Linked DNA regions of Bombyx mori. The protein of the gene in region 3 interacts with the protein of the main gene of each other region in a pairwise test. Links are inferred from orthologs where the notes say so. Each region holds a gene or a part of one and is shown on either strand. Other genes may lie near its edges.

Region 1 (10,042 bases), on a different chromosome or scaffold from region 3:
GGCGATTAACTTAGTTGCCCGTTCAAGAAGCGTACAATTTAAATTGTGATTCCACGGAAACAAAGATAACTACATATGAAAATTGTTGATCGCTGACTATTCATAAGACATATTCATAGAATACTTGTAGCTACAGAAAATTTTGTTAAATACCGTCACTGTGTAGGTGGCCTGGACGCACGTTGAACTTTTTTGTTTTTGCGTAAGAAGTGAAACTTCTTTTGCGGTGTGTAGTATTGTGATTATCTTCTTTTTTCATCCTTAAATCAAATTTATCTTGCAATTCGCGAGACGCTCTGTCTATTTTCTCACTTTCGCTCTTTCTAAATAGTATATTTTCTCTTTGGTCGTAACGAAGCTGACGCTAGTTAAATTTTACTCTTAACGCGCCTAAAGAAGTTTCACTTCAAAAAACTTGCTTCATGCAACGCACACTTCAATAACTTCTGTATCAAGATCTTCAATATCTTCAATGTATGTGTCTGTGAAACTACAGACGTTCGGGCTAACATTCAACAAGAAACGAGTAATGAAATTTGCGGATATTTACAGAGTAATATACCGAGTATCGCCGCCGTAACCGCCTCGATGGATACGAAATGCTACATATACAACATCGAACTGAGTATACAGACACCGAAGGTATGTTAAAAAGTCTATACTAATATTGATGATTTGTATGTTTGTATTTTTATTGTCGAAGTGAATGATTTGACCGGGGCAACGTCGGGCATATCTGTCATAATGATTACGACTGTGCTAACTGGTTGGGAATTTTACGTATTAGCTAATATACAAATGGACTGGCTGTTTACGGACCAAAGATTGATTGATGTGTTTAATTTTTTCCTAATTTAATACTACACGTGTCCAGCGTTTTCAACCAGTTTCAACCTTTAACATAACCGAAACACGTGCTAGTGTGTAGCTAAAGGTAAAGTCATGAGACCACCGTACATTGTGTTGATTTTAAAATTCAACTTCGAATCACGAAAATTTTCACTCAAACCAGGTGTTGATTATATGTGTCGAATTCAACGCAACAGAGCTCTGGGACTAGCGTTATTCTTGCAATTTTGCACATAACATACAAAAAGATGCTCACTAACTACCCTATATTTTTTAAATTATATTTTTTCTGCTTAGATCGATGGACGCGATCATGGCCCACTTGACATGAAGTGGTTATCGGAGCCCATAGACATCAATAACCTAAATGCCGCTGCCTACTTTGAGACATCAGTTCGAAGTCTCAGATTTATTGTACAACAGCTGCCTCACTCTTAAAACCGAAACGCATTAATGCTTCACGACAGAAATAGGCAGGGTGATGGCACCTACCCGTGCGGGCTCACAAGATGCCCTACCATTAGTGTCTGTATATAATGTTTTTTTGGCCATTTTGGTAACCTCGGCAGATATTAGTGGTGGAGATTACTGCCGTCCATGGAAATTGGCAATGTCAAGGGCTTATGCTTATCTTGGGACTTCATAATTCTTGTTCTTAACTCATTTTTCCTTGTAAATCCTTCCTTCACCAGTTATCACCAGATAGAAACAGTCTGGAAATCGTAATTGATTCACATGGTAAAAAGTGATTTGGACTAACTACACAGCACAACAGACTCCTTCCTTATTCCCTTGAAGAGCTTGTAGAATACGCAGAGGAGAGATCCAAATTAAACACGCGTCATCATCTGTTTATTAATCAAAGCTATAAAATCAAATCGTTGTTACGTTACAGAAAGAGATGATCGTTCAGTTTGAGGACATAATGGTGGATCATTTCCATGCTTTCAAGAAAAGTCAGGGGATTCTGCCGAAGAAGGTGTTCGTGTTCCGTGACGGGGTTTCTGAGGGTCAATTTGCTGAGGTGCGTGTTACGATGTAATATGACGTCCATTACTGCTTATTACTTTATTTTATTAGTGCCATATTAGATTCGCCGGGCGATTAGGTGAGCTCACCGGGTTCTTACTTGGTGACGTTGCTAACACTAGCCCTAGTAAGAACAGTGCTACGCAGAATTTACCACCGGATTGGAAACTCGACCCACTGATATATTTTAAATTTTTTTTTTTGTTGCTTAGAGGTTGGACGAGCTCACAGCCGACCTGGTGTTAAGTGGTTACTGGAGCCCATAGACATCTACGACGTAAATGCGCCATCCATCTTAAGATGTCTAATATCTAATGTCTCAGTATAGTTACAGCGGCTGCCCCACCCTTCAAACCGAAACGCATTACTGCTTCACGGCAGAAATAGGCAGGGCGGTGGTACCTACCCGTGCGGATACACAAGAGGTCCTACCACCACTATCTCTGTTTCATTTATAACAATAAATATATAGAATTTAAGATATTTGTTTGTACATTATTATTGTTTATGAATCAGGTAATGAAGAGTGAACTGACTGGATTGCATCGCGCCTACCAACGTGTCGCGGGATTGAACGCTAAACCAGAAGTATTGTTCATTCTTGTACAAAAACGTCATCACACGAGGTTCGTTGGTTTTTTCTTTGCTTTGAGTTTTGTAGGCAGCGGCTTGGCTGTGCTCTTGGTATTGCTGACGTCCATGGGCGACGGTAACTACTCATCATCCGGACCATATGCTCGTCTGCCTACAAGGGCATTAAAAACAAGAAAGTAGATCATAGTGAGTTGACACGAATTTAGACACTGAAAAAAGGTTAAAGAAATATAGTCGAATTAGGAATTTAATAAAATAATATGTGTAAATAAACAGCACTAAAAGGGTTAATTGCTGTTAAAAATATATATATTTTGTAGATTGATTCTAAACTTCAGATAAAATCAACGAATGAATAGTGATTTGAATTCAGTAATATACTTTATTAACTGTGTTTTAGAAATTTTTTGCAATTTGGGTCTGGTTGCCTTTCTCTATTCTATTACTAATACTATTACTATACTATAATTATCTGATAGTAACATTGGGAACATAAGTCTTGGTAGTAAATTCATATAATTTCGAAATACGTACTTATTAGCTCCTCAAGAAATTCTTTACTATTTATTTGTTTTAGATTCTTCCTGCCCGGGAACAACGCCCGTTTCAACGTCGATCCGGGGACTGTGGTCGACCGTGATATAGTACATCCACGTGAATTGGACTTCTATTTGGTAAGTATAGAGTATAACGATATACATTATATATTTAACAAGTGAAATCCGGTCAAGTCACGTTGAATCTACTCGTGAGCCGCCTGTCGTGCGTTGATGGTACTATGTCAGAAACTGAAGCCCTGTACCAAATTTCATTACAATCGAAAATAAGTTCACGCGATTTAAACTCTTCAGTGTGTTGTTTTGAAGTCGTCGTGGCCTAAACGATAAGACATCCGGTGCATACGTTACTAGCGATGTACCGGTGTTCGAATCCCGCAGGCGGGTACCAATTTTTTATAATTTAATAATGAAATACGTACTTAACAAATGTTCACGATTGACTTCTACGGCGAAGGAATAACATCGTGTATAATAAAAATCAAATCCGCAAAATTATAATTTGCGTAATTACTGGTGGTAGGATCTCTTGTGAGTCCGCACGGGTAGGTACCACCGCCCTCTCTGTTTCTGCCGTGAAGCAGTAATGTGTATTGGTTTGAAGCTTGGGGCAACCGCTATAACTATACTGAGACCTTAGAACTCATATCTCAAGGTGGGTGGCTGGGCCGTGATCTCGTTCACACACTTAAGCAATAAAAAAAATTAAAATTATAATCGAAATCGCATTTGTAGGTGTCTCACCAAGCGATCAAGGGCACGGCTCGTCCGACGCGCTACCACGCCGTCTGCAACGACGGCAGGATCCCGGAGAACGAAGTGGAGCACCTCGCGTACTACCTGTGCCATCTGTACGCGCGTTGTATGCGCGCCGTGTCATACCCCGCGCCGACCTACTACGCGCACTTGGCCTGTCTGCGGGCTCGCTCGCTCACCTAGTAACTATCTTTGTTTTACTTGCCATAACCCAGCCCGTACCGTCAGCAAAAAACAGCTAGGCGCAAGTCATCCTTGAAACGACCTAACCCAGCCTGTACCGATAGTAAAAAACAGCTAGCCAATAGTCATCTTTGAGACGCCAGTTTACTTGTATTAACCCAACTCGCACTGACAGCAAATAGCAGCTAGGCCCTTGTCATCCTTAAGGCGATAGCTATGATTTAAAAATATATTATATATGCGTCTCGGGACGCCTAAGTTGAACTATATAATGATGAAATTGTTTGACTTGAGAAAAACTCAGGTTATTACTTAAATTTTATGTATTATTAATAATTGAGTCGACTATTATCAAAGGCGGCAATCTGACTTTTGGATTGGTAAATCAGAAAAACGAATTATTGACTTTGTATTCCATTGGCAGTCACAAAACTCTTCGGAACGACATCTTAGATAAATAACAGGTTAACTATTAACCTTTATTTAATGCAGGTTTTGAACCGTATTTTTTGAAGGAGACGATTATATTCAAATAAATCTGTATTGACATATCAATAAATTTTTTTTGTCCAAATGTACAGATTGCCACCTTTGATAATAGACGACTCAATTATGGTAATGCAAGGAAAATTGTAACATAAATTGAAAGAGATATATAAATAGCTAGGAGTTGTATACGTTCTCACCGGTCACCGTCCTCGTCGAACCCGTCGCTTGCGACGAAGGGCTCGACGAGCGAACTAACCCATAGACACAGCCCACTGAGTTTCTCGCCGGATCTTCTCAGTGGGTCGCGTTTCCGATCCGGTGGTGGATTCTGCGAAGCACTGCTCTTGCTAGGGTCAGTGTTAGCAACTCTCCGGTTGAGCCCCGCGAGCTCACCTACGAACGTTAGGGTGAAGCTGAAATAGCCTCTCAAGGCTATCAGCATAAGTAGGAAAAAAAAACGTTCTCAGTACCGCTGCTGTATGCATGAGAGAAGGAGAAGCCAGACAGGCGTCGTAACGCGTTACGTAACGAAGTGGTTTACCCACCCATAAGAAGTTAATTTATTAAGTTACGCCCAGTGGCTTGCAATTGGAGAGGCCTATGTCCAATGGACTGCTATAGGCTAATGATGAAGAAGTTATCACTTCAAAACTTGGTAACCGTTTTTTGTTTTGCCTTATCTAGACCGGAATTTTGTCGTAATCTGCGCGAGCTCACGCTAATCACGCTAATCACTACATAGTATAAAACAAAGTCGCCTTCTCTGTCCATATATCCCTATGTATGCTTAAATCTTTAAAACTACGCAACGGATTTTGATGCGGCATTTTTTTTAATAGATAGAGTGGTTGAAGAGAAAGGTTTATATGTATGATAACATCCATTAAATAGTGCAGAAATCAATAATAAATTACAGTTTTCGAAGCGAAGCGAGGGCGGGTCGCTAGTCACTAATAAATGTTACCTCGTTGAATGAATGTGTTAACATTTTTGTTTATTTCAGTGGCGAGATATTCAATAATAACGATCTCGAGAAGAATCCCAAACGTCTCCGGGTCCTCGACAGCATGCTGAAACAGAGCCGTATGTTCTTCGTCTAACAAGATGATATTTTAAAAATGTATATGTAATCACTATTTAATAAAACACGTATAACAACGAATGACTTCATTCGTAATCTTATTATATTAATATCAATAACCATGCCTTTTGCAATGAAAATTATAAACACGTCTCTTACCCTATAAATATGATTGTTTCATGACAGAAATTAGATAGCTTTTTGTGTAAAATCAAGATTTTTTTAATGAAAATATAAAACGTATGATTTTTTTAAGGAAAACTTCTTTGAGTTAATGAAAAATTTAAAAACTAATGTTCTTTGTACCGAGTTAATCCGGTAGGTTTCGCTCGCACAAAATACAGAAGATAAACCAAAGAAGTTTCACTTCTTAGTTTTACAGATTTGCATGTGAGACTCAAATAGCCTCAAGCGCTTTTTAGATCGCGGTTGTCATGTAAAAACCATAATATATTGTATCTCGACATCGGAGGTATAAACTCTGATATAAATTGTTTCATCTGTACAAATTGAGTGACTTAAATTATAATTGGTCCAGGATAAGATGTCCGAGTTTGGTTAAGACCCTACACCATCATCATATTCTCAAATAATATGATATGGTGTTGTTTTGCGGAGTATATATTGTTTACTCTTGCGCTAGGATTCGTTTTATCAGGTTCTGATGCTTTGACACGCATTTATTCGTCTGAAGTCGAGATGTTACTGCTTATTTGCATCTGCTTTTACTGGTGGTAGGACTTCTTGTGAGTCCGTGCGGGTAGGTACCACCGCCCTGCCTATTTCTGCCGTGAAGCAGTAATGCGTTTCGGTTTGAAGGGTTGGGCAGCCGTTGTAACTATACTGAGATCTTAAAACTTATATCTCAAGGTGTGTGGCGCATTTACGTTGTAGATGTCTATGGGTTCCAGTAACCACTTAACAGGTCGGCTGTGAGCTCGTCCAACCATCTAAGCGATAAAAAAACTGCTTGCCGAAGTGTGAATTATCTCATAACCGTGTATCGGATATAATAAACATACAATGTCATATGGAAAGACGGTTATAACTATTTGAAATTGATCAGAGGGAAAGATAGAGATATGAATGACAAATTATTATTATCATACTATATTTAAAAATCATATATGTATGAAATATTTGGTATCTGAAAAATAATATGATCGTATCGTTTATTTAAAATTTACAACCGCCTATCTTTATTATTAACGTGTTTTAAAATTATTTTTTTTTTCAAGCCTTTTCTTTGTTTGTGCTAACTATTTTTGTATTGATTTTATTAGGATATTATTGGATTGTGTTATTTGAAAAGTTAAAATCAAATCTAGTGTGAACTTAAACTAAAAACGTAATCTTATCAATATAATGTATTTTATTTCAATAAAGTGTCCAGTAGAAATGTGAAGTGTTTTATTTCAATTCCTTAAATGCTCTGGCCTGCTACTTCTCTGATCATGTATAGATAATTCGAGAGAACGAAAAGATGTATGTCTTCCATTTTGTTTTAAATTGTTCAGATATTACGACCAATAAAAGATCAAGCTTATTGTAGAATACTTAATTACTCGTAAGTAAATAAAGTCATCCGCCCTCAATTTAGGATTCCGCGTGTTATGGGTACCAGAGACTAACAAACATTCTTACATAATATATACGTTAAAATATCTATATATTAATACGTGAAGGAAAAACTTTGTATCCCTTTTTACGAAAATTGCGTGGACGGAGGAGTATGAAATTTCCCAAACTTATCTATACTAATATTATAAAGAGGAAAGATTTGTTTGTTTGTTTGTATTGAATAGGCTCCGAAACTACTGAACCGATTTAAAAATTTCTTTCACTGTTGGAAAGCTATGCTATCCCCGGGTGACAGGCTATATTTATTACATTTTCAAAAAAAATTGGGAGCCTTACTGAAACTCCTTCGGAGGAGTAAGGAGGAAACTCCAGTAATCCTTAATGTAACCCAATGTGTAAAAAAATTACCTAAAATTCTTTACATCGCGTGCGCTACTTCCTAAGCGAGGCCGGGGCGGGCCGCTAGTAAAGAATAAAGAGAAGGAATGCAGTGTTTTTTTTTTTTAAATTATGCCTAAAAATACATTAAATCAATAAAAAAAGCATTACACACACTACCATGTATTTGACGCACACATGCATGCATACTATTTACTGTTAAACTTTTGTTCTTGACGTCTGTGGTCAAATTGAGAATAGATTAAAAATATTGTTTGTCTTTATTAATATTATTCTATAGTGTAGTCTTGGCGAAATTTGTGATTATAGAAGTATAATAGTCTTTGAAAATACAATCATAATAGTGTACAAACCACGGAATAGATAAATAAGGTGTATGAACATTTTTATTGCCTTTTTGCATGTGTGAGTGTGTATGCCTACGGGTGTTTTGTGCTAGTTTGCGAACGAATATCTGTCCTGAGATTTATGTGTGGGTGTTTTTGTTGTGTGCGAAATACTTGTAATCACAGTATGTGTATGTGTAGAAATTAAAATAGTGGGGATGAAGCGGCGACACTGGTTCTAATACAAAATTAGAGCAAAGGCCTTTCCAACCTTATTTATCTATTCCGTGGTACAAACTTACAATTTCAATTAATTATAGTCGAATTTCACTGAGAAGACCCGGCGAGAAACTTAGGTGGTTGTGTCTATGGGTTAGTTTAGTCGCCGCACCATTACTGAAATCCTCCTGCAATTTAATATATTCTAACGATTCAATGCACAGGATCGGGTATGTAGTTTCTGGCGACCACGACAAGAGGGTTTTCGTGCCGCGCCGTTTTCTCGAAATGGGTGAATTGGATTAAGTATATGATACCTATCGCTGGATGACTATATTTGGATTTATATTTTTTATTTCTGCAAGTACAGTGTAGTCAATAATCTATACTAGTCAATTACTATACTATTAGTCAAGATTACGACTTCTTCCCGATGTCTACAGGATCCATTACTGCTTTAACGTCAGTGGGGCCGTGAGATTGTCCATCAAAACCAAGAACTAAATAAATGAAGTGAAATATAGTATATCATTTTAGTTTTGTAGTAAGTCCAGTTTGAAAAGTGTTTAATGCACATACAACCTTGCAAAAAAAATTAATGTTGTTACCATTATTTTGTTTGAGTTGTATACAATTTAATTTTTTTTTTAATAACCGTTATGTAAATTACGAAAGTTATATTTATCAATAGTCTTGAACTTGATCATGGACTCAATTTTAACGGTTATTCGCTTAGCTATAGGCTATTGCTTACGTGAGTCGTAACACGATCGCTGCGTTACGCAAACTAGTTACCAAAAGCCTTAATACTTGAATTCGAACGCTTTAGTAAAACAGAATATTGAATTCTTAGTTGCTATATTGTTTTGCAGAACTTATGGCTACGTATTATGCATTTAGGTTAAAGGAGACAGTTCCGCGTATCAATAACCAAGTAGGAAACAAAGGGATCTTTGGCAGTGAAGCTTAGAATAAAACCAGTTATAAATACGGTATAAGTAGTTAGTTATAAATACGGTATAAGTAGTTAAGTGTTTTTATGTATTTTATAAGTAGTTAAGTATTTTTATAAGTGTTTTTATCACGATTTTTATATTTAATGAGTTCCCGATATTGCTGGATACACTGGGACTGAATTTGTAGTGTTTTTAATGTATATAGTCACACAGCCCCATCTCTTCGCATGAGTTCGTATAAGGCGACAAAGGCATACATCAGAGAATGGGTGAAAGAGTTATCTTAGTATTCTACCAGTGTACTTTGATCATCACTGCTATTGACTGGTGGCAGGGCGTGTTGCAAGCCCGGTCGAATAGTGACGGCCGCCATCCTGAATATGATTTCGGCGAAGCCGTTGCGTTTCGGTTTGAGAGGTGGGGCAGCCGTTGTACTATAAAAATTGAGACTCAGAACTCAGGACTCAGACCGCTGTCGATATCTTTTGGCTTCGGTAACCATTTAATACTAGATAGACCGTGAGTTCGTCCATCAATTTAAGCAATAAATTTTATTCTATTTACTAATTATGTATTAAAATCGATGGCACTATGGCATGATTTTATCCATTTTATATTTATTACCAGTCGTAATGAATATTCAGTTGAAATTTCATCGTAGTAATATATTAACAAGGAAATCCGCTTTTTAGTATCTACTTAAATTACAAGAATTAAGACTGCGCTATGAACGAACGTAAATTTAATAATATAATATGTTCAGAACTTTTTGGATGTGATTCTCATTTCATTTCGTAATTGTTTTGTAGTGCTAAACGTTGTCGCTTTCCTAGGAAAACAAACGAGTAGATTTTTATCAATATCTCGTAGTGACGACGCTACGAAGTCGGAATTTAAAATTTATTTGACTTAATTTGTCTATTTATTATAAATTAAGTTTACTTTCAGATTGGAGCTATTTAAATGACTTCCTCATAACCGGATTGTTATAAAATAATTAATTAATATAATTCACATTTTTTA
Region 2 (10,604 bases), on a different chromosome or scaffold from region 3:
GTACAAATATCTTTGTGCTAATCATTCAATATTACTCAAATAAACTTTAATGTTTTGAACAAGTTTAAATAGAAATAAGTAATGTAATCACCTGTTCCAGGAAAATATTCTCCATATTTATGAAAGGAAACGGTCATTACTCTGTCCGTGGTGTAGAAAGCTTCTTCAACACCATCACCATGATGCACATCTATGTCAATATATAGTACTCTTTGATGGTATTTCAGCAACTCCAATATGCCAAGAACAATGTCATTAACATAACAGAAACCTGACGCTTCAGACTTCTTTGCATGATGGAGGCCACCACCCCAGTTTATGCATATTTCTGAGGCCTAAAACAATTTATTTTTTTTATTTTTTATTAGGCTCACAATACACATCACAAGCTAAAGATACATAAAAAACACAAATAAAAAAAAAACAAAATCTGGCTTGCAACATAAGTTATGTGCGCACGACAAAACTATAAAGTGCTGAATTTGTATATCAACGTTCCTTACAATTACGACAAAACAACACGATAACGAAAACTAATCTAACTTATAGTGTAAGGAAAAAAAAAATTATAACAATAATAAAATCAGTACAAACATGTTTTAATTTTATAGTTATAAATAACTATAAATGAAACCTATATAACTATATAATTATAAAATTAAGAAAACTTGCAGAATCAAATTAGAAATCTCACAAGATAAGAAAAATCTATTGTTTTATTGTTTTAAAATCAATATAAACACAATTTAAGTGTTCTATTCATCTCTGACACAGTATCAGTTAATATCAGGTTGGGGCTCATCTGTCTTTAACCATTTTAAAGTTAAAACACTAAAAAGGTAAAATTATAATAATTTTAACAAATGAAAATAATACTTTCTCATTGGCATATGTAAGTAGAGGATGTAATTAAAACTACTTTTATTGTTTAATGTCATGTATACAATTGCTGTTATATTATTTCTGATTTTTTAAATAAATTACAGTTTTCATCGCCACTAATTAAACTGAAAAACTTGTTTTAACAAAATAAAATAAATAAAAAAATAAGACTAATTACCTGCTTATTCAGTTTTACAGCTGCTGCAACTGAACCCCCAGCAGACAACTGACAAAATTCATACAGGCCATCAAAAACAGGACAATCTTCACCTACATTAACTGCAAAATGTATATTAAAATTAGTCACATTCAATAAGTTGAATATTTTCCATATCATCCCTGAATGTGATCAGGCACTAATAAAGGTATGTAGTTTATAGGATATTACCCATCAGTAGATTGAGGGATAGGTCAAAAATAATTTGGTTGATGCTTTGAACTATAGGAACTTTAACAAAAAACCAATAGGATTGTACACCATTTTCACCATACTCTTTAAATAAATATGTACATTATAAAGGTTTTCTTCCTGCAATAAACAGCAGATACATTGGTTTCAACTAAACAGGCTGCAGACAAGGAGAGTGCTCATACAGGAAAGTAGTTTTTTTTCTTTATAATTTTGGTATGTTATATCTATACTTATCAAGCAGTGTGACAATTGACTGACACAACTAGATGCTGTGGTATAGTCAAAGATTTGAATTTAGGAATTTTTTTCAGTGTCATAGCAGTGAATCAAAGGAATTTTCCACAATTTTACACAAAATATGCTGTATTCAATCTATTATTTTCATCATCTTTTTATACAAATTATGAATATAGTAAGATTCCACTGTAGTAGATTCACATTATTGTAAGCTGAACATAGTTGAAACTGTGGGACAAATCTATTATAATATTATACACTGAAAAAATATAGTTTAATATAAAATAACACACTAAATAAGTAACTCTACTGTTATATTAGCTTTAACAGGTAAGTCTTCAAGGGTAATACATTTTCATTAAAGCATTTATGAATAATTAATACTTTTTTTAAATAATATTGATAATAATTAGTAATAACTTACATCTCTGCATTTGTTTGTTGTACTCAGAAACATTGTCAGGTCGAATAGAACGCAGGAATCTAATGTAATCATCTGAATGGAATTTTGTCATTTCATCAGCTGTGGCTTTGTGAGGCCTCTGTTTAAAAATATATAATTATAAAATCTCAAATCATTGAAGAACTTACACTTAAAAGGTAATTTCAGTACTCACATAAATCTCCATTTTTCGATAGAGTCCATAGTTGAGGAGTAAATTGTGGGTCATACGTATGCGGTGAGGTTTCATTGGATGCCCTTGTCCGTAATAGTAGTTTCCAATATCGCCTTTAATAAAAATAACACGCATTATTTTCAACTTTTTATTAACATGTTACTTAAATCATTTTACGGCTTCATATTTAGCCGTCTGTACCTCGTACATCGTAATACGAGCAAGTCCGTGTACCCAATAGGAACGCGGAACGCTGTACAGACGTCGTAAAATGAAACAATGAACTGAGTTAACAATGTCATAAAAATCCTAAGACAAGCTTTAAAATCTCTGAAGTTCTTAAAAGAGCTAGGCCGTGTGGAAATTTGTATTTAAAATATGAATACTACGCATATTAATTATTTATAATACAAAAACTAATTCTTAAGTTACTAGCGATGTAATGGAGATCCGTGGCGGGTAAAACTTTATTTTACTTACTGTCATAATAGTAACACACTCTTTTCTTACTGTGCGGTTGCATAGACATTTTTAATTATTTCTTCAACGGTTACTTTTTAATAAAATTATTACAATATACTTAAAAATGTTAAAGAGAAATAAAAACCACACCGCTGTGCTTTAATTTGACAATCCACACAAAAAAACTTCATAAAATAATTGAAAGATGAACAAAATGCAACTTCAGAGTACGACAATTTCATTACAGTGAAGTTGACTGACCTAAAAGTTACAGATATTCAATGAACGAATGAATGAATTGATTAAATTGAATGATTTTTAGTAGATTAAATATAGAAATCAAGTGAAGCCACAGTTCACAGTAGGTAGTAGCATTACAATCATAAGCATGAATTACTTGGCAGCTAGAACAGCCCCTTAGGCCAGCGATCGGCTTGCGGCTCGCATGCTGCTCTTTAGCTCCTCAACTGCGGCTCTTCCGCGAAATGTTTACCTAGTTCAGGCACGGAATATCCCTCATTATCTTATTTTTTTAAGAGAAGAGCAAACACTTTTAAAATACAAGGTTATAAAATTCTGTTAGAAAAATGGTTCTTTGATTAAATTTCAATTGTGTGTCTCTCTATTTGGCTCCCAGGGAATAGGCAGGGGAAAAAAATAGATGGTAATATTAATAGATTTTTATTGTTAGTAGCATTTTTTTTATTGCTTAGATGGGTGGACGAGCTCACAACCCACTTGGTCTTAAGTGGTTACTGGAGCCCATAGACATCTACAACGTAAATGCGCCACCCACCTTTCTAAGGTCTCAAGTATATTTATCTATATTGTTCAAGGTAGCAAGTTCAAGTTCCAAGTGGAAAAGTCTATACTGAGGGAAAATTTTCATATCATCATCATCATCATCATCATTGAATTTATTGGCAATATACTTATGCTGACAACCATACGGTCTACTTGATGGTGTGTGGTCACCACAATACACAACAAAACTTACCTACTGCATTTTTTATATAAAATTTAATAGAACCATTCGTAGAATTCCGCACGTTGCCTCTTATGTTATTAGAAATACACGGTCAACATAAAGGATACGATATTCTAAAAAACTACCACAGCTGAATCTTTATATATATATATATATTCATTTTTTTAGCAATTCATTTATCTATATATATAAAAATGAATTGTTGTTCTAACTTAGTCTCGCTAAAACTCGAGAACGGCTGAACCGATTTGACTAATTTTGGTCTTGAATTATTTGTGGAAGACCAGAGAAGGTTTAAAAGGTAGATAAATATGAAAATGCTCGGAATTAAATAAAAATAACAATTTTGTTTTTCCTTTGATGTGTCCCCGGTCGGGTGAATTTCTTTTTTCTTTCATTGATCGATTGAGGTACTACGAAGTCTGCCAGGTCAGCTAGTTTTAAATAAAATTGTAACAAAATGTATCTTTGGGAATTGAAAGATTGAAGAAGCTGCAGTTTACGGCAAGTGCGTAATTTTATACTCCTTACGTACATTCCTAATTATGTCCAAGGAAATGGTAGAATTCACCTTGGAAGGTAGAAGAAACTTAGGAACTAGAAATCATATTAATATTGTAACACTGAAATTAGTTCACGTGAACTTGTAGCAAAGGTTTCAGGAATTTGTACCTTAAAAATTTTCATTCTTCAATTCAACTTAAGGATGTGTAGCTATTTAAAATCGAAATACTATTGTGATTTCGAAATTGAATATATCTCGATACCCATTTTACTATTTTTACTCATTTTGATATAAAGTTCTCCTATAATTTATTTCATTGCTTTACCCAAGTCAAGATAAACAGGACGATCAAATTTATTTCAACATATGGACTTTAAATTCGAACTTCATTTATTAGAGATGATTAGTAGTAGTAGGTTAATGCAATATTTTCTTGTAGATTATTGATTCGTAAATAATTTAAATTCCAGGTAAATCATTTACATTCGGAAAAATAAAATATGGCATTGAAAAGAATTTAGAAGAAGTATACAAATAGCTGTGCTTACCAATGAAGCTTGACTACAAAATGTATTTTTTTAATTTGTTTTGTAGTTTGTATATTTTTTATTTGGTTACTAAAGAGCCTTTTGGTTTTACCGAACTAACTCATGTATACAGGGTGTCCCAGAAAGAATGGATAATCCTGAAAAACCTATTGGGAACACAAAATAAAAAATAAAATAACAAATTCTCAGGTAGTACCCAAATTACTATTTAAAAAAGAAATTTATATTTTCCATACTGCTGTGCGTTTCTGGAATATACAACAGCTACAAATAAATGGAATCTACAGGCTTTTGGTGTTATAATATTCTACATGGACTATACTAAGAAATATGCAGGAAATCGTTTGAGTAGCCAGTGTAATTTTTTATAAAAGCTAATCTGAACTTAATTTGGTATTTTTTTCTTTATTTTTAATTTGGGGACTAACTAAAAAAAATTTTTTTTTTCAGTCCCCATTTGCTCTACTATGAGGTGTTTCAGGATTGTCCATTATTTTTGGGACACCCTGTATATTAGCTGTCCCTGAACTAATTCATGTAATAATTATTTATTGGATGACACGATTATTCGAACTTAGACCGTTCATTCGCTTCGAAACTGTGATTTTTCCCTACACTAAAACAACAAGTTCCATTCGATATCGATTTGACAGTTCCCAATCCCATTCATGGAGGAAGTTGGTTCTGTTCTTCTCATCCTTTCATTCTTTCATCGCGCAGCAGTGGTCAAGGTAGGACGTCACTTCACGTAAATTTGTTCGAATTATTGATTTGTCAGTTGAATAATATTCTAAGTTCTATTCGTCCTGCAAAACCTTATTCCGAAACTGCGTGAATCAAATTCCGTGAAACTATTTTGTTGGTGCAGCGCAAATTGTGATCAGAATTTTTTATCTTTTCCTTTTAGGTGGACCCTGCGTCAGAAAGAATCCATAGTTTAAATAAACATCTTCAACTAAATCCGAAAAATAATCATGTAAGTATTACTCTATTTAAACGTATATTTCAGATGTGAGAGTATTTCCATTAATTTAGTCAAAAATAATGGTCAAAAAGGCCATCTACCACGAAAGCTAGAATTGTCTTGTTTAAATTGAATTTCGGTTTTTCATCACAAGATTATTTCTCTGTCACGATCTTTTTAAAACCTATTTTGGTTTTGAAATGATTTTTAATTTAGAAAGTGTGTAGTGGCATTTATTTAATTCATACTTATCCATTTTAACAAATCTACATGAAGCCATTTTGTCTTTAGCTGTTCACGCATGCGCATTGACAATAATGGCAACGTTTTTGTTACTTCTGGCGTGTTAAGCGCAAGCGCGAAGCAATGTATTGATTTTTTCCTTTGCACTAGGTCTGGTAACTGGAATAATAGCCGTGGAAACGGTGGTTCCAAATTTGGAGGAGGCAACAAATTCGGCGATAATTCTTCTCGATTTGGCAACGGTGGCAATAGATTTGGAGGATCTGGAGGATTTGGTGGGAAAAAAGAATTCTCTGGAGGTCAGAACATGCGTCGCCCAGATTGGGATTCTGTTTCGCTCCAACCTTTCAACAAAAACTTTTATGATCCACATCCTACAGTTCTCAAAAGATCACCATATGAAGTCGAAGAGTACAGAAATAATCACGAGGTAACTGTAAGTGGCGTTGAGGTTCATAATCCTATTCAATACTTTGAAGAAGCAAATTTTCCTGATTATGTGCAACAAGGTGTAAAGACAATGGGTTACAAAGAACCGACGCCCATTCAAGCTCAAGGCTGGCCGATAGCTATGTCTGGAAAGAATTTAGTTGGCGTAGCCCAAACGGGTTCCGGCAAAACGTTGGCCTACATCTTGCCAGCCATTGTGCACATAAACAACCAACCGCCTATTCGGAGAGGTGATGGTCCGATTGCTTTGGTCTTGGCGCCTACCAGAGAGTTAGCACAACAAATTCAGCAAGTTGCTGCAGATTTTGGACACACATCTTATGTTCGTAACACGTGTGTGTTTGGTGGTGCTCCTAAAAGAGAGCAAGCCCGGGACTTGGAGAGGGGAGTAGAAATAGTCATTGCTACTCCAGGTAGATTAATTGATTTCTTGGAAAAGGGCACAACCAACTTACAGCGGTGCACATATTTAGTTCTTGATGAGGCTGATCGTATGTTGGATATGGGATTTGAACCACAAATCAGAAAAATCATTGAGCAAATACGCCCAGACAGACAGACTTTGATGTGGTCAGCTACTTGGCCCAAAGAAGTGAAGAAACTTGCTGAGGATTACTTGGGAGACTACATTCAGATCAATATAGGATCATTACAACTTTCCGCAAATCACAACATTCTTCAAATTGTAGATATTTGTCAAGAACATGAAAAAGAAAATAAGTGAGTAGAATTTCCAACTAATTTTAGTAATTGTTTTGAAAAATGATGATTTGTTGTTAAAATGAATAACTTCATGATTTGACCAACAAATTTCCTCTAAGAAGATCTGATGTTTAAGTACTATTACTTTAAACAAGATGAATAATCTGGCAATGACAATGTAATGCTTTATATTTCAGATTAAATGTATTATTGCAAGAAATTGGACAAAGTCAAGAACCTGGTGCGAAAACAATAATTTTTGTTGAAACCAAGAGAAAAGCTGAGAACATATCAAGGAACATAAGGAGATATGGCTGGCCAGCTGTTTGCATGCATGGCGATAAAACTCAACAAGAAAGAGATGAAGTTCTGTATCAGTTCAAGGAAGGTCGTGCTAGTATTCTTGTAGCAACTGATGTTGCAGCTCGAGGGCTTGGTGAGATATTTTTTTAATCAAATTACTTAATTCTTATGATAAAAAATACAAATTAATTATTAATTTATAAATATAATTTCATTTATAATTTCAGAGGCACTGGCGGAAAGTTATTGTGTTCTATTTGAAAACTGGCAATTGAATGCCAAATTACTTTACTGGATTTGTAGATGAGTGACTGATTCAGTTGTAAACTGTAGAGAATGCAATAACTCGTCACTATAATGGTGCCTCATAGTGCCTTTCACTACATTTGGACCCGAGGCCGGAAAGCTTGATGGTTTGTCCGTAACTGCGGATAGACTTGAAAGTTGAAAACCTGGTGATGCACTTACTATGCGTTATTCAATTGAAAAATAAGGTCAGAAAACATGATTGGTGCATTGTTGAAAAACTTGACTGATGATCGGCAAGAGGTCAAGGGTTTTCTGTTTCGGCCAGTGGAGTCTTGGGCAATATTAAAACAAAAGATTTGAAATTAAAATTAGAGATTTGCCCTCTTTAGACTCCAGGGTTCTCAGTGAGAGGCAACATTGTTATATTTGTTATTATCTGTGTAGCTCATACAAACATGTAAGTAAAAGTGAGATATTCAAGATAATAACTAAATCCTTAATTAAATTAATTATGATCTTTAAAATTAATTTGTGTATTACAGATGTTGATGGTATCAAATATGTAATAAATTTTGATTATCCAAATTCGTCGGAGGATTACATCCATCGTATTGGGAGAACTGGACGTTCAAAATCAAAAGGAACATCATATGCTTTCTTTACCCCTTCAAATTCCCGTCAAGCCAAAGATTTGGTATCTGTTCTACAAGAAGCTAATCAGGTTAGAAGTTTGATTTTACAATTAAATAAATAATATACAATTAAATTAAAATCATTCCTCATACCTTTGGCATGGGTACGTTCTTCAATAGCGTGACATGAATGCAAGTATGAGGTACATTAAATACAGCTATATGCCTTCGGTGTTCATGCTAAACAAATGCCTGAATCCCATCCTCAAATGTTGTGACATTTTATTAAATAAAGTCTAGATTTTTTCCTGCATTCTACATGATTTATCAGATTTCTCTTGGTATATCAGGAAAGGATTTTGTCAAAGTCGAAACATTTGTAGATTCAACAAGTATTCATTCACTTTATATTTTGATATGTTATTGTACTGTAGCTGGGCATAGATTACAATTTTATATTGTTTGTTTTTAGATTATTAGCCCACAACTGCAGTCGATGGCCGACCGTTGCGGTGGTGGTGGCGGCGGGTGGAACAGGAACAGATTCGGCGGAGGTGGACGAGGTGGTGGCGGCTCTTTTAAACGCGGAAGCAATTTTGGCAAGAGTAGCCAAAGGGGGGGCAGTGGTTACAAACGATTTGACGACTATTAAATAAGATTTTTGTTGGCATTTCTAAGAGGGTGAATCCTCGTAATATAGATAAATGTTATGATTTGTAGATCCTGTTTGGATATTACAGTTGTGGCTAGTTTAATTTATTTATTGTAATGTCCACTAGCGACCCAACATTTTATAGGTAACACTATTTATATTATGTTAAAACTGTGATATTTTTTTATTGTGATTCTACCCAAGATTTGCAAAATAGTGCATTCTTACTCTGAAATTTTCCAAGTAGAATAAATGTCGTCAAATTCATGTAGAATTTTATTAATATTTAGAGCGTTAAGCCGTCATTCCACTCTTGTTACATTTCATTGTATAATTACATTGTATGAATAAATAATTTAAGAATACTAATTGACTTCTTTTATAATTATTTCCTTTTCCTTGGAAAACAAAGATGTCACGCTGGATGCACTCCGAGATTTTTGGATTAAAATTCATCTCTTAACTGAAAGGGGGATAATCTTTATCTGCAGATAGGTATGTACCTACTTCCCTATAGCTTCTGGACAGTGAGGGTTTCTTGCAGTCAAGTGTCAAAAGTATTTCTGGGCTGAGTGCTGGATCGCAAATCTTGCCTTTAATCTTCTTAAAAAAATAATTTTTACGTCTATCCAAATTTTACCTAACTTAATGAATCGATTCACAGAAAACGGCCTAAAAAATCAATTTCAAGTGAGTTTTCAATGTGAAAACCACATTTTCATGAAGTGGAACTAGGACGGTGTTATCCCGCGACAAATTCGTTACGGCTAGAGAGAAAATATACAATTTAGTACGAGCAGGAGAGAAAATTGACAGCGTCTCGCGAACCTCTGTCTTGGAAAGGTAGAAAGCGAGCTATTATGTCGTTTCACTTAGCACACCCTGTTTACGGGCGTCAGCCACTAGATGTCGTGTTATTAGTTTTTCGTTGCTCCAGCAGATGGCAGTACCATTAACTATCATAAATGTAATTTTTAATGAGGTATTTAAAAAAAGCTCGTGCAGCACTCGGGAACTGCTGCGGTAAAGCGGTTTTGTCTATGTAGTTTTTCTTCGGGTTTAAATGTGTAATAACGGTGGTTTATTAAGTGTTTCATATTCTGTGAAAGTGCACAAATGTGGGAAAATGAAATAAAACTGCTGCAGATAGCTTCTCGGGATCCTCCAAAAAGTCTACTGAAAAAATCTCAGTAAATGACCACCGTCATCTCTTTTCATTTAGTTTCATCTCAGTTGATTAATGACCCAAATTGATCATTTCATTTCATTTCACCCCATATTATAATTTTTCATAAAAATAAGAATAAAATAAAAATAAGACATGACTTAAAGGTCTCTGTTACCAGGTCATAAAATCCCTAAAAAAAAAAGAATCCGAAGTCTGAATTTAATGAAGTAAAGAAAAATTGTGTACAATGTACGCACATATTACCTATGAACTAAAAGCAAAATTATAAATTTGATACAAGTGGTTTAATAGCATAGGTACCATAAAGATATAGCAGTACAGAACTATTCAACCGCTTGCGATACATATTAATGCAAGGAAATGTGTTTTTATCTATTCGTATTTAAACTTCTTCATTGAAATAGCTCATCGCATGTCTGGTTAAAAACAAAAATAAATTGAAAATGGCTTTAAATGTGCTCACAAGGTTATTAAAACGAAAGGAGTTGTCCAAATTGTAAGTACTAAATATTTTTTATTTTAACCTAACCCAATGTGACATAACCTCATAACTATAAGTCAAGAAAAAA
Region 3 (10,816 bases):
GTATGGAAATTCGTAATTTTTTAATCTAGAACCTTGAAACTTTTTGATGATGATTGATTTTTTTGCTTCTAGTCAGATATATGTAAATAATAATGTAATTTTAAGTTTTTAAATCTTCACCCTCGAGGGGGTAAAATAACAATAAGAAATAGGGGATAAAAGTATGCAAGGTATTGTGGGCACAGCTATTAAAAAATACTTCAGTAAATAATAGATACTTAAATTTGAAAAATGTATATATTTTAGTTTATAACAAGACCTATTTTAATTTAGTAGTAAAACTAACGCTCATTTTGAATTTTAGATGTAAACAATGGGTAAAGATGGTTGGCAAAGAAGATCTGGCTTATCTTCAAGTACATATGCTACATGATTTAAAACATGTTTGTGAAGCACATTTCTCAAGACGAGACTTTACAAAATCAAAGAAGCGCTTAAAAAAACGAGCTGTACCCAAACTGAACTTGACACTGCCACCATTGAGAGATGAAATTCTTCTTCAATTTTTGCAACTCAACTCGCAAGGTAATTGGGTACATATTTTCCATTTTGTACATTTTTTACAGGATTGAAATTTTTTTTGTGTATAAAAATTTATACTATGTAAAAATTTGTGTTAGCTCAGTTGGTACCTAAAATGCTCACTTCTCGCACATATGTCTACTGCATGGACCAAAGATAGTTTCTAAGTCCATTTATATCTAGACCACACTTTGAAATTCAACATGCTCTTGAGTGTAGAATAATTCAAAGTAAATTAAAAAATGTATGTTTTTATATCAGCGGATGTCACCCCACAAGGCCAGTTCGAGGTTCAGGCCGTTCCTAGTGCTTTGATGCCAGCATCCTCAAGTCAGCCTAGCGGTCTAGAGAAAAGTGAGAATCAGGATTGTTTAAATTTATATCAGCAAGAAAAGAAATACTAAATTTTAATCTTAATAGACATGTGTAATAATTTAAAATAATTAATTTAATTTTCAGCTGATGTCACCCCACAAGGCCAGTTTGAGGTTCAGGCTGTTCCTTGTACTTCAATGCCAACATCCTCAAGTCAGTCTAGCAGTCTAGAGAAAAGTAAGAATCGATTTCATGAAAGCAATTCTAAATTTTAGTTGTAACGAAGATCTGTAAAAATAGTTCAAAATTCCTACTAATATTATAAATGCGAAAGTAACTTGTCTGTCTATTACACTTTCACGTCTAAGCCACTGAACCCATTTTGATGAAATTTGGCACAGACAATTTGTAGACAGAGAAAGGACACAAAATACTATTATCAAGTGATAGTACAGGGACATGCGATATAACCGAATCCCATGCGGGAGAAGCCACAGCCGAAAGTCTAGTTTAAATAAATGAATATAATTTTTTCAGCGTATGGTTCTGGTTGTGTTTATTTAACAACTAGCGACCCGCCCTCGCTTCGCTTAGGAAACTGTCATTAATTATTGATTTCTCCACTATTTAATGGATGTTATTATACATATAAACTTTCCTCTTCAATCACTCTATCTATTAAAAAAAACCGCATCAAAATCCGTTGCGTAGTTTTAAAGATTTAAGCATACATAAGGACAGACAGATAGATATAGGGACAGAGAAAGCGACTTTGTTTTAACTATGTAGTGATACAACATGTTTAGTTATTGTTTTAGCTATTTTTTTTAATATTGTTTATTTGTATTGTACTGTTGGTTTCCCTTATAAATAAATAAAATATAATAAGATTATAATACATACTAATTCTATTGTACTTCATATATTTTTACAGACGTCACCAAAGGAAGCCAGCGGAAAGAAAGTGAAAGTCAAATAAGAAAAAGAAAATTAGAAGATGTTGGTGAGTTTTGTATTATTAACTCCATCTACTTATAGCACCACTTTTAACGATTGGTCAATAAGTATTAATGTAATTTTTTTGTTTTAGATGTTACACCACGGAAAAGGAAGCTCTTAAGTGAATTGAGAAAAACAAAGTGCACATTGGCATCATTAAAAAAGAGCGCGAAACTAATAGACAATTTATCGTCAGAGTTTCTAAAAGAAATTGTCACGTCTGCGTTGATAAATCAAAAGCGTAAGTCACAAGGCAAACGCTGGACTATTAAAAATAAAATATCAGCATTAGCCATCTTCAAGCGTTCACCAAAAGCTTACCGATATCTGCGATATCTCGCACCATTTCCGAGTATCAAAACATTGCAAAAATTAATGAAAAAAATACCTGTTGAGCCAGGTTTAAATACAGCTGTACTTGACCACCTGAAAAAACTAGCTCCCATTAAAAAAATAAGAGCAAAATTATGTTCGCTAGTCTTTGATGAAATAGCGTTAAAAGAAAGGTTAACTTATAGCGAAGCCACAGATAAAGTGGAAGGGTTTATCGATTATGGATATGAGAGGAAAGATGAGCTAGCAAATCATGCCTTAGTCTTCATGTTACAAGGTATTGGGAGAAAAATTAAACAACCGCTGGCATTCTATTTCATAAGAGGCACAGTATCTTCAGAAAAATTAGCAGTTTTAATAAAAGATATAATTAAAGAAATTACTAACTCGGGATTTCAAGTTTTATCAACAATATGTGATCAAGCGCCCACCAATATGGGAGCATTAAGTCTGTTAAAGGAGTGGAACAATGGTGGACATAATTATTTTGAATTTGAAAATAAAAAAATTTATATAATTTATGATATTCCACATTTATTAAAATCACTGAGAAATAACTTTTTAAAACAAGGATTTCTGAAAATGGGAGAATTGAAAGGTCAATGGAGCCATTTAGTTGAGGTAGAGGAACGAAATAGAAATTTTTTATATCTTAGCAAACTCAAATCAACTCATGTACAACCAAAGTACAGAGCTAAAATGAAAGTTAAGTATGCCGCACAAATATTTAGCCAAACAGTGGCTGCTGTTCTTAAATTATTAGCTACGAATGTGGAAAATGTACACCGATCAGATGAAATATTACAGACTGCTTTGTTAATTGAAAAATTCAATAAACTTTTTGATTATACAAATGGGCCATCAGGACATGCTGACGTAAAAAAAGGTATACGGGAAAACGTATCTGCTAAAACTGACCATTTAGCTGTTTGGACAGAATATAGAAAGCAACTGTCTACTTTAACATTTTTCAACCATAATGGCGTGGAAGCAAAAAATGTAAAGTGTGTTCAAGGCTACATTATATCATTAAAATCGCTGCGTGATATTTGGCTGGAAGTTCAGGATTTAGGATATAAGTATTTGAATCTACGGCAGTTAAACCAGGATGCATTAGAAAATTTATTTGGGTTAATAAGACAGCATGGTCAAACAAACAAGCATCCGACGTGTTCTACATTTATAGCAGCTATGAAAACCTCTATAATATCAGGACTTACCGCCCCTCACAGCAAAAACTCCAATTGTGAAGAAGACAAAAAGGAACTCATGACGGATTTTCATGATTTAGTTTTTGGGTTTAAAGACGAAGATGATCAAGGTCAAGATATTAATGAGTCTCCTAGTCATGTTTCCACAGAAAATGAAAATGAGGAAGACAACCCGGTTCTCAGTATACCTGAAGAAGAAGAATATAAAGAAATAGTATGTGACCTAGCAAAAATTTCAAATCAACCAGTGGTCTATATAAGTGGATATCTAGCTTCTGTTATTCTAAAAAAAAATGATTGCCAGGTCTGTAGAGAAACTTTGACAGTTGCAGATCCAGAGGAAAATAAGATTTATGATTTAATTAAATTAAGGGAGTGGTGGCAAGATAAGAAATGTTTGACATATCCATCATTGCAGTTGTGTCAAACTGTACACACTGCGGTTACAAATTTTGAACAGTTTTGTATCCCTAACCTACATAATAACAATATTTGCCAGTGGACAATTACTATATTTTATTCAAATTGTAATACAGAGTGGCTATGCATTAATCATCGTCAACAAATGTCAGACTTATTGTTTACAAAATTGGCTCTAATGCTGATTCGGCGACAGTGCCAGATAATTAATTTAAAGCAAGTTTCAAAGGAAGAGGATTTGGCGGACGCGAACAAAAGGGGTCAACAATATGGTGTTTCAAGATAATTACATAATTAGTTTTTATTTGTTTTTTGTAGAAAGAAGTTAACTTCGGGTTTGAGTTCAAAAAAAGTATACATTTAGAGATTTAGAACTTTATTTTTTTACTATTATAAAATAGAAGTTTTTAAAAATTTACTCTTCAAATGGAAATAGAAACGAATTGTTTTTTATTTAGCACAAAAATTTTCAAAACCTAGTTCGTTATAACATTATAAAACAAGGTTGAAAACCTCTACATGTATACTTATTGTACCTTGCATAAAATTAAGTAAATATTGGTTTATATTGTAAAATAAAAATTAAACATTTCCGATACAAACTTAAAATTTTTTGTAAGCGTTAAAATTCTACTTACAAATTTCATTAAAATTATACTAAGTAATAAAACATTGTTTTATTTCTTTTAAAATAATAAAGTTTTTATTTCAATATGCAATCCTTGCCTGCATTCGATATCGACAAAAATATCGATAATATTCGCATCATTATTTATTGGACATCGATATTAATGCCCATCACTATTTTTGACAGTGGTAGGATTTTTGTAGTCTGTGGTTGTTTTAATGTTGTCACCAGATCGGATCTGATCCCATACATTTTCATTTTGTAACGTTTACTATGAAGTGCGGACTCTTATAACGTAGTGATTATATACTCTTTGGCAAAATTAAATGAACAAGCAGTAAATTCAAATAAGAAACTTGGTAAATAAAATTTAATGCAGAATCTGGGGTGAACTTAATTGTTTATGATCGGAATCAATAGTTTTACTCGGAATTAGCTGAGTTTACACTGTATGGTGGCGTTAAGCTATACATTTGATTTCTATGAAATATCAATTCAGAAATGAAATGGTCCTCTGTATTTCTTTGTTTAAAAAGTGAATAGGTAACAGATTAGACACTAGATTTCACAGGGGAATTCCAAATTCAAAACGTATCAATGATTCATATTGTAAACTTATTTCACAGTGAAAGGCAGTGCTTTTAAAAATAAATCTATCATAGTCTATGCTTGAATTCTCTAAAGCGATTGGTCAGTGAACCGCTGCGAATATTCGTTCTCGTTCGGAAAACGCCAAATACGCTTTCAAACCAAAATGGAGGATTTGTCGGTCGAGGTGTACGGTGAAAATGGTGCTTATTATAAGGTTTGTAAACCGTGAAGTACGCTAAAATTTGAGTAAACACGCGTCCCTCTAATTAGTTTACAGATCAATCAATCGTAGCCGATGACCAGGGCAGTGATATGTCTTATACTTACAAAAATATTTTTCCGGGAAGATCTCTGCTGGAATAGACGCCATGTCCGTCTGACAGGGCGTGATTTTTCCATGTGTTGTAATAATTTTTATGCTTGTAGTATTTTTAGAAAATATCGTGCAGTAAATGGATGTCTGCTCCTCATGTGGTGATTTAACATTAGCGTATTTTCGCGTAAATGACCTAGTTATCACATCCGCAGCGCATCACCAAGTTGCTGTGGCTTTAAAATGTTCCAAAAATTCTTTATTTTTAGGCCATTGTCACCGACGTGCTCGACAACGAGGTTCTAGTAGCCTTTGAAAATGAGTGAGTTTATTTATATTTAGTATGTAAATTTATATACTAGTGTATAAACTGTCTTATTTTTTGTAAATTTATTGACTACGTTTGATTAAATTTTTAGCTGGCAGCCAGAATCAAAGTTTCCGTTTTCTCAAGTTTTCTTACCACCTAAAGACACTGGCAAACACACAGAATTTACTGAGAACCAGGAGGTGGAAGTATTTGCTAGGTCTAATGAGAAAGAAGCGTGTGGGTGGTGGACTGCAAATATCAAGGTATTGAATTACACACACATATATTAAACAAATCAAAATATGATAGAATTTTATTCTAGAACAAATGTTTTCGAAACTACCCTTCATCTTGTTTACTTGTACATGATTTTCTATTTTAAACCCTAATTTCTACCCTCCTTTTTGCTTTTTTGTTAAAAATTTTTGAAAACTTGCCCCAATTTAACTTAGTCTGTTTGGTTTTATTTCAAAAATATACTAAGATTTGTTGCAATTTAACTTCAACAAATTTTATTAAAATTTTTTTTAATTTAATTTATTAAAAGCGAATTAAACATTTGGTTACTTCAATTTAGAGTCCTTTGAAGTATTAATCCAGAAATACTGCCTGTATACAATATCAAATACAGCAAATCTTGCTATGTTAAATTCATCACATTGCATAATAATGTCTAGACTATATTTTTGTTTTTGTTTCTATAATAGTTTTATGTAGAATGTGGAATTAAGAATCATATATGCCAATAAAATGTCAATATTTTTTGCAGATGATGAGGGGTGATTTCCTTGTGATAGAATATCTAGAATGGGATAACTGTTATACGGAAATTGTGCCTAAAGATCGTCTTAGGGTAAAATTACCGAAGACCCCAATAGACAAAAACACATTTCACAAGTTTGAAATAACAGTACCTGATGAACTGAAGGACTAGTGAGTTATAATTTGAATTATAATATTTATAAAAAAAAAACATGCATCATATTGAATAACAATCACTTCCCAGTTGGAATAATGTCTCCATCATGCTATTATAAAAGTGGGTATAATGTATGCTAGTGTTATTGAAGTCCCATGCAGCTGTCAAGTGGTCTCTTACAAATTGGTAGCTAATGGGATAATAGAAAATCTTAAGATAGCTACTCTCCTGTAATATTTACTAATGTAATAAATATTTCATATACATTTTTAACCAAACATGACCACTAATAAAGCATATGGAGTAATTATTATTACATATAACTCTTACACATCTAACATTGTTGATATCATCTCTTTTGCTAAAGTAAAAATACGTAGTTGTTCACTAGGGACCACAAACAAACATATTAGAAGTATCATTAGTTGGTAGAAGGGAGATTGTGAAGGGGTAGGTACAAGAATTCAGTATCTGTTTTGAAATGTTCATATTCATATTATTCATATCTGTAGGTAGGGGAGTTTTTATATCAATGCTATTTAGACTTGAGTTGTTAAGGTAGAATGGATACATTGATACTAGTAATGTTAGTAGTTAGCTGTAAGCTGATCTGCCCAACATAGCAATAAGAAAGTTAAAGAATATGTGTAATGTATTCAGTCTGTGAACTATTTATGAATCTATTGAGTCTTAAATTAAATTCAACCCTCCTGTAAAGGTTCCAACTCCTAAAGTATGACATAATCTGCATTCATACTAGAAAAGATAAATTGAATTATTATTCCATTTATATATTGGTCAAAATTTTAAGAAAACAAAATTTAGTACCTGAAAAAAATTTGTTGCATTAATAAATAGTCTGATAACTTCATAAATACTAAAATATACCTAACTTTAAAATTGAATAGGAATATAAAGATCAATATGTTGACTAAAACTGAGCTTATGATATTTTTGGGATACAGGTGTTAAATTCAACAGTGTGGGCAAAGAGGATATGAATTACTTGTAATTTTTTGTCTATTACAACTTAAAATAACTTTTTAGTTAACATCGCTAAATGCTGGCTGGTGGGTTGATTCTGTTTGGACAAACCTTTTTTTTAAATGAGAAACATGTTTATTTGCTATGTCTGAATGGTTTATTGTCATATATTTAATTGTTTATAAATTTTGATGTCTTTTTAATATATCAGTCTGGTTCACCATATACCATACTACAGGAAATAATTGTTTGGGGAAAAAAATTAATTGAAATTTGTTAAATATTCAAAATTAATTAAAGGGTCAAGTCAAGCAGTATTTTAATAAATAAAACCATTGGTAAATAAACCAACTGAATTTATTATATTGAATACGGTGGTCACTTAAAGAAAAACTTCAAAAACCTCTCAGCCTTGTTACAACTATAAAATATACTACAAATTTGTGCTTGCTTGGGGTACAGCTCCCATAGGATAGCATTACATAGTTAGTATTTCCATTTAAATTTTATTTAGATATTCACATCATTTTGACTAGGTTTCATACTTTGTGGAAGTTCTGAGGTAAAGGAGAAACTTTAGCTCTGTTAATATCTTGTATAGCATGGAACACTTCAGGGAGGAATTGTTTTGGGGGTTCACACTTTCATTTTTACCTAACCATGAGTGCTATAATATGTAAGATCAAAATGATTTTGAATGGAAGAGTGAATAATTAGTCGGACACAAGCATGGCTGATGTTGAGGTTGGGTCGGCAGTAACTATATGGTGTACGTGTGCAGCCTCCACGACATCCACAGCGCGAAGGTGGAGAACGCGCACAAGGAGTTCCAGAAGGCGATCGGCGCCGCGCTCGTCTGGTACGTGCCCGAGCGCGCCGTGCTCGCCGTGCTCTCCCGCTGCGCCTCCTCGCAGCGCCGCGCCACCATGCTGCAGGAGATGCACTTCCGGTACCTCCACACCCCCACCCCACCCCACCCCACCCCACCCCACCCCACTACACTACACTACACTACACTACAGTTGAATATGCTATTTCGAAAAGGGCACATCTCTGAATATATAAAATGTTCAGGAAATGAAAAAAAGTGATTATTTTCTAAAGCAGTGTAAAATTTAAAATATTAACTTTAGAGACATATTTTAGTGTTAATTGGCAATTGAAAATTACTGGAATTATTATAAAATGGGTGTAGGTAAGCCTCAAAACTACATGTATATGAAAAAACCTATTTGACAAAATATGCGACATGTGCCCTTTTCGAAATTTCATATTCAATTATAAATGCTAGCATTACTAGCTTTATTAGTGTGGACGGTCTTAAAACTCATGCCACACGATAAAAGGACATGCTCCGACGATGTCACGTAATATAGGATTAAAGCAAGAAAATGGATACTATTATTATCAATCACTACATGTGATATTTGTGTTATAAAATCTATGGACCGCAGTCGCTCTATAACATGGCGTCCACTGTGATCAACTGTACTTGTCTATGTAAGATAAAAAAAGATGTTTCTCCCGCCTGTCGAAATTATAGCCTAGCCGATAGATGAGCACTTTGTATAAACTCTATTTGGGGTACTTGAGCGATCTGACTATTTGATTGAAATTTCTTTTTATTCGAGACCGCTGAGGTACTTGATGGGGAGTAACCACCATACTTCAGGGCCATTAGCAAATCTAGATCTGCAACCAAGCTGTAAGATAATAGAAATGATATCAGTCAACAGGGCAGTTACTGGTAATACTAACAGTTTAAATTATTCAGCAATGTATAGGTAATATCTTAAATATTAACATCTCTAAACGTAATTCGCGATACCCACATATACCATCAGAATTATCTATCCGGCCATGCATAGCCTCCTCCGACTTATTGAAGGATAGGGATAATGCTGAGAAATATTGACCATACATTGGTTAGTTACTTCACTTGATATTCATGTGTTTGAACTATATGGCCACCTACTCCATATCAGGTCACGATCATCACAACAACCAAATAAACGGGATATCCAAATAATAAAGAGACTTAAAATCTACAATAGGAATAGGTTAGCTTGTAACCTCACATTGGCAATGTTCGTAATTAAACACCGACTAGTACAATCCTTAGAAGCCGAATATGACACATAACTAATTGTAAAAAAAAATACATGTACTTGCCAAATTTTATATTAAGATTTAGTGTCTCGTGTCTTGTTTTAATTGATTGCAGTAGTAATAAAGTTTATTGTGGGACATGTATTGCGCGTTGTGGAAGCGATACCTTTCACTTTTCACGCAATAGTTCGCAGGTTCGGAACTAGGCATGTGCTGATAGATGTAGCATATTTCTTTTTCTTTCTTTTTTCTTCACATTCCTCTAAGTCATGTGAATTTTATCCAACTGCTCAAAGATGGCGGCTCATTGGGAATTGTTTCAAATCTTTGATCGCATTTACCACGTTTTGAATAAACAGATAAATTCATTTCGCTTACAAAAACAAAATCTAACAATTTCTAATTGAAGTAGACCGTAACAGCTGCTACACAATGTTCTTGATTGAAATAGTCATGGAATGCTGTTACACACTAATCTGTAAAAACAGGTATTGCTTTCTTCCATATATAAGAAGTTATAAATTACAAAAAATATTGTAAATCAGTAGATACATACATAAAGTGACTAGGACCAAAAGGATTAATCCTAGGACCAAAAAGGAAATTAGACAATTTAATGCACCGTAAATTCTGACTGAGAATATCTACTCACTGAATCTAATATTTAATATGGCATGGATCGTAGTCATGGTTTGGTTACATGCAAGAAAATAACCAAATGGTTTTGTTTTATATAGTAATAAAATATTAAATTTTAATTTTCAGAAATTTGACCCAGAAACTTATGTTATTGAAGAAAACAGAGGAGGCAGCGAGGCAGCTTGAATCTACGAAAATAAACAATCAGGGCGGGTGAGTCACTACTGTACACGTGCTCTCGTTATGATTCTCGAAAAAATCGTTTTTGTTTAAAAAGTGAGAAACTATTATACTTTCAAACAGTTTAAATAACCTACTGTGAAGTAGGAACCAGAACAAGTTAATTATATTTCTGATACATTCAATATTCAGCATTGAACAAGGATCTCAAGTCAGAAATGTTGACTTGTGGTCCTGTTTTGTTGAACCAATAGACTCAGGCTTATCTCAATATAAGTTTAATGGTTGAACAAAACTGGTGCTAACATTATCTGGAGCCCCCAGGACCGCCGGCCCTTTAGAT

The links.
Region 1: the proteins of RNA-binding protein FXR1 (region 3) and Ago2 interact in binary tests that used the Drosophila melanogaster proteins (3 or more experiments, as listed by UniProt). The link is inferred for Bombyx mori from reciprocal best matches to the Drosophila melanogaster genes Fmr1 and AGO2.
Region 2: the proteins of RNA-binding protein FXR1 (region 3) and DEAD box polypeptide 5 interact in binary tests that used the Drosophila melanogaster proteins (3 or more experiments, as listed by UniProt). The link is inferred for Bombyx mori from reciprocal best matches to the Drosophila melanogaster genes Fmr1 and Rm62.

What each region holds. Positions count from the first base shown.
Region 1 is NC_085118.1:6,269,057-6,279,098, reverse strand, and holds the end of Ago2 (argonaute 2), read left to right. Parts: intron 1-552; coding exon 553-642; intron 643-1,744; coding exon 1,745-1,873; intron 1,874-2,394; coding exon 2,395-2,504; intron 2,505-3,049; coding exon 3,050-3,146; intron 3,147-3,764; coding exon 3,765-3,967; intron 3,968-5,460; coding exon 5,461-5,557; 3' UTR 5,558-6,937; downstream 6,938-10,042. UniProt on the Drosophila melanogaster protein: Essential for RNA interference (RNAi); double-stranded RNA induces potent and specific gene silencing.
Region 2 is NC_085117.1:13,611,202-13,621,805, forward strand, and holds DEAD box polypeptide 5, read left to right. Parts: upstream 1-5,409; 5' UTR 5,410-5,625; coding exon 5,626-5,627; exon of another isoform or gene 5,628-5,916; coding exon of another isoform or gene 5,917-6,008; coding exon 6,009-7,028; intron 7,029-7,207; coding exon 7,208-7,446; intron 7,447-7,540; coding exon of another isoform or gene 7,541-7,620; exon of another isoform or gene 7,621-7,915; intron 7,916-8,104; coding exon 8,105-8,283; intron 8,284-8,339; exon of another isoform or gene 8,340-8,477; intron 8,478-8,666; coding exon 8,667-8,846; 3' UTR 8,847-9,215; downstream 9,216-10,604. Other genes in the region: histone deacetylase HDAC1, read right to left, coding at 92-335, 1,061-1,161, 1,956-2,073, 2,149-2,261, 2,629-2,677; uncharacterized protein LOC101736496, read left to right, coding at 10,479-10,531. UniProt on the Drosophila melanogaster protein: As an RNA helicase, unwinds RNA and alters RNA structures through ATP binding and hydrolysis. Involved in multiple cellular processes, including pre-mRNA splicing, alternative splicing, rRNA processing and miRNA processing, as well as transcription regulation.
Region 3 is NC_085112.1:15,604,252-15,615,067, reverse strand, and holds the start of RNA-binding protein FXR1, read left to right. Parts: upstream 1-5,064; 5' UTR 5,065-5,182; coding exon 5,183-5,233; intron 5,234-5,601; coding exon 5,602-5,654; intron 5,655-5,751; coding exon 5,752-5,905; intron 5,906-6,411; coding exon 6,412-6,575; intron 6,576-8,326; coding exon 8,327-8,494; intron 8,495-10,419; coding exon 10,420-10,506; intron 10,507-10,816. Other genes in the region: uncharacterized protein LOC119630931, read left to right, coding at 305-525, 784-876, 982-1,074, 1,772-1,840, 1,928-4,086. UniProt on the Drosophila melanogaster protein: Polyribosome-associated RNA-binding protein that plays a role in neuronal development and synaptic plasticity through the regulation of protein synthesis of mRNAs.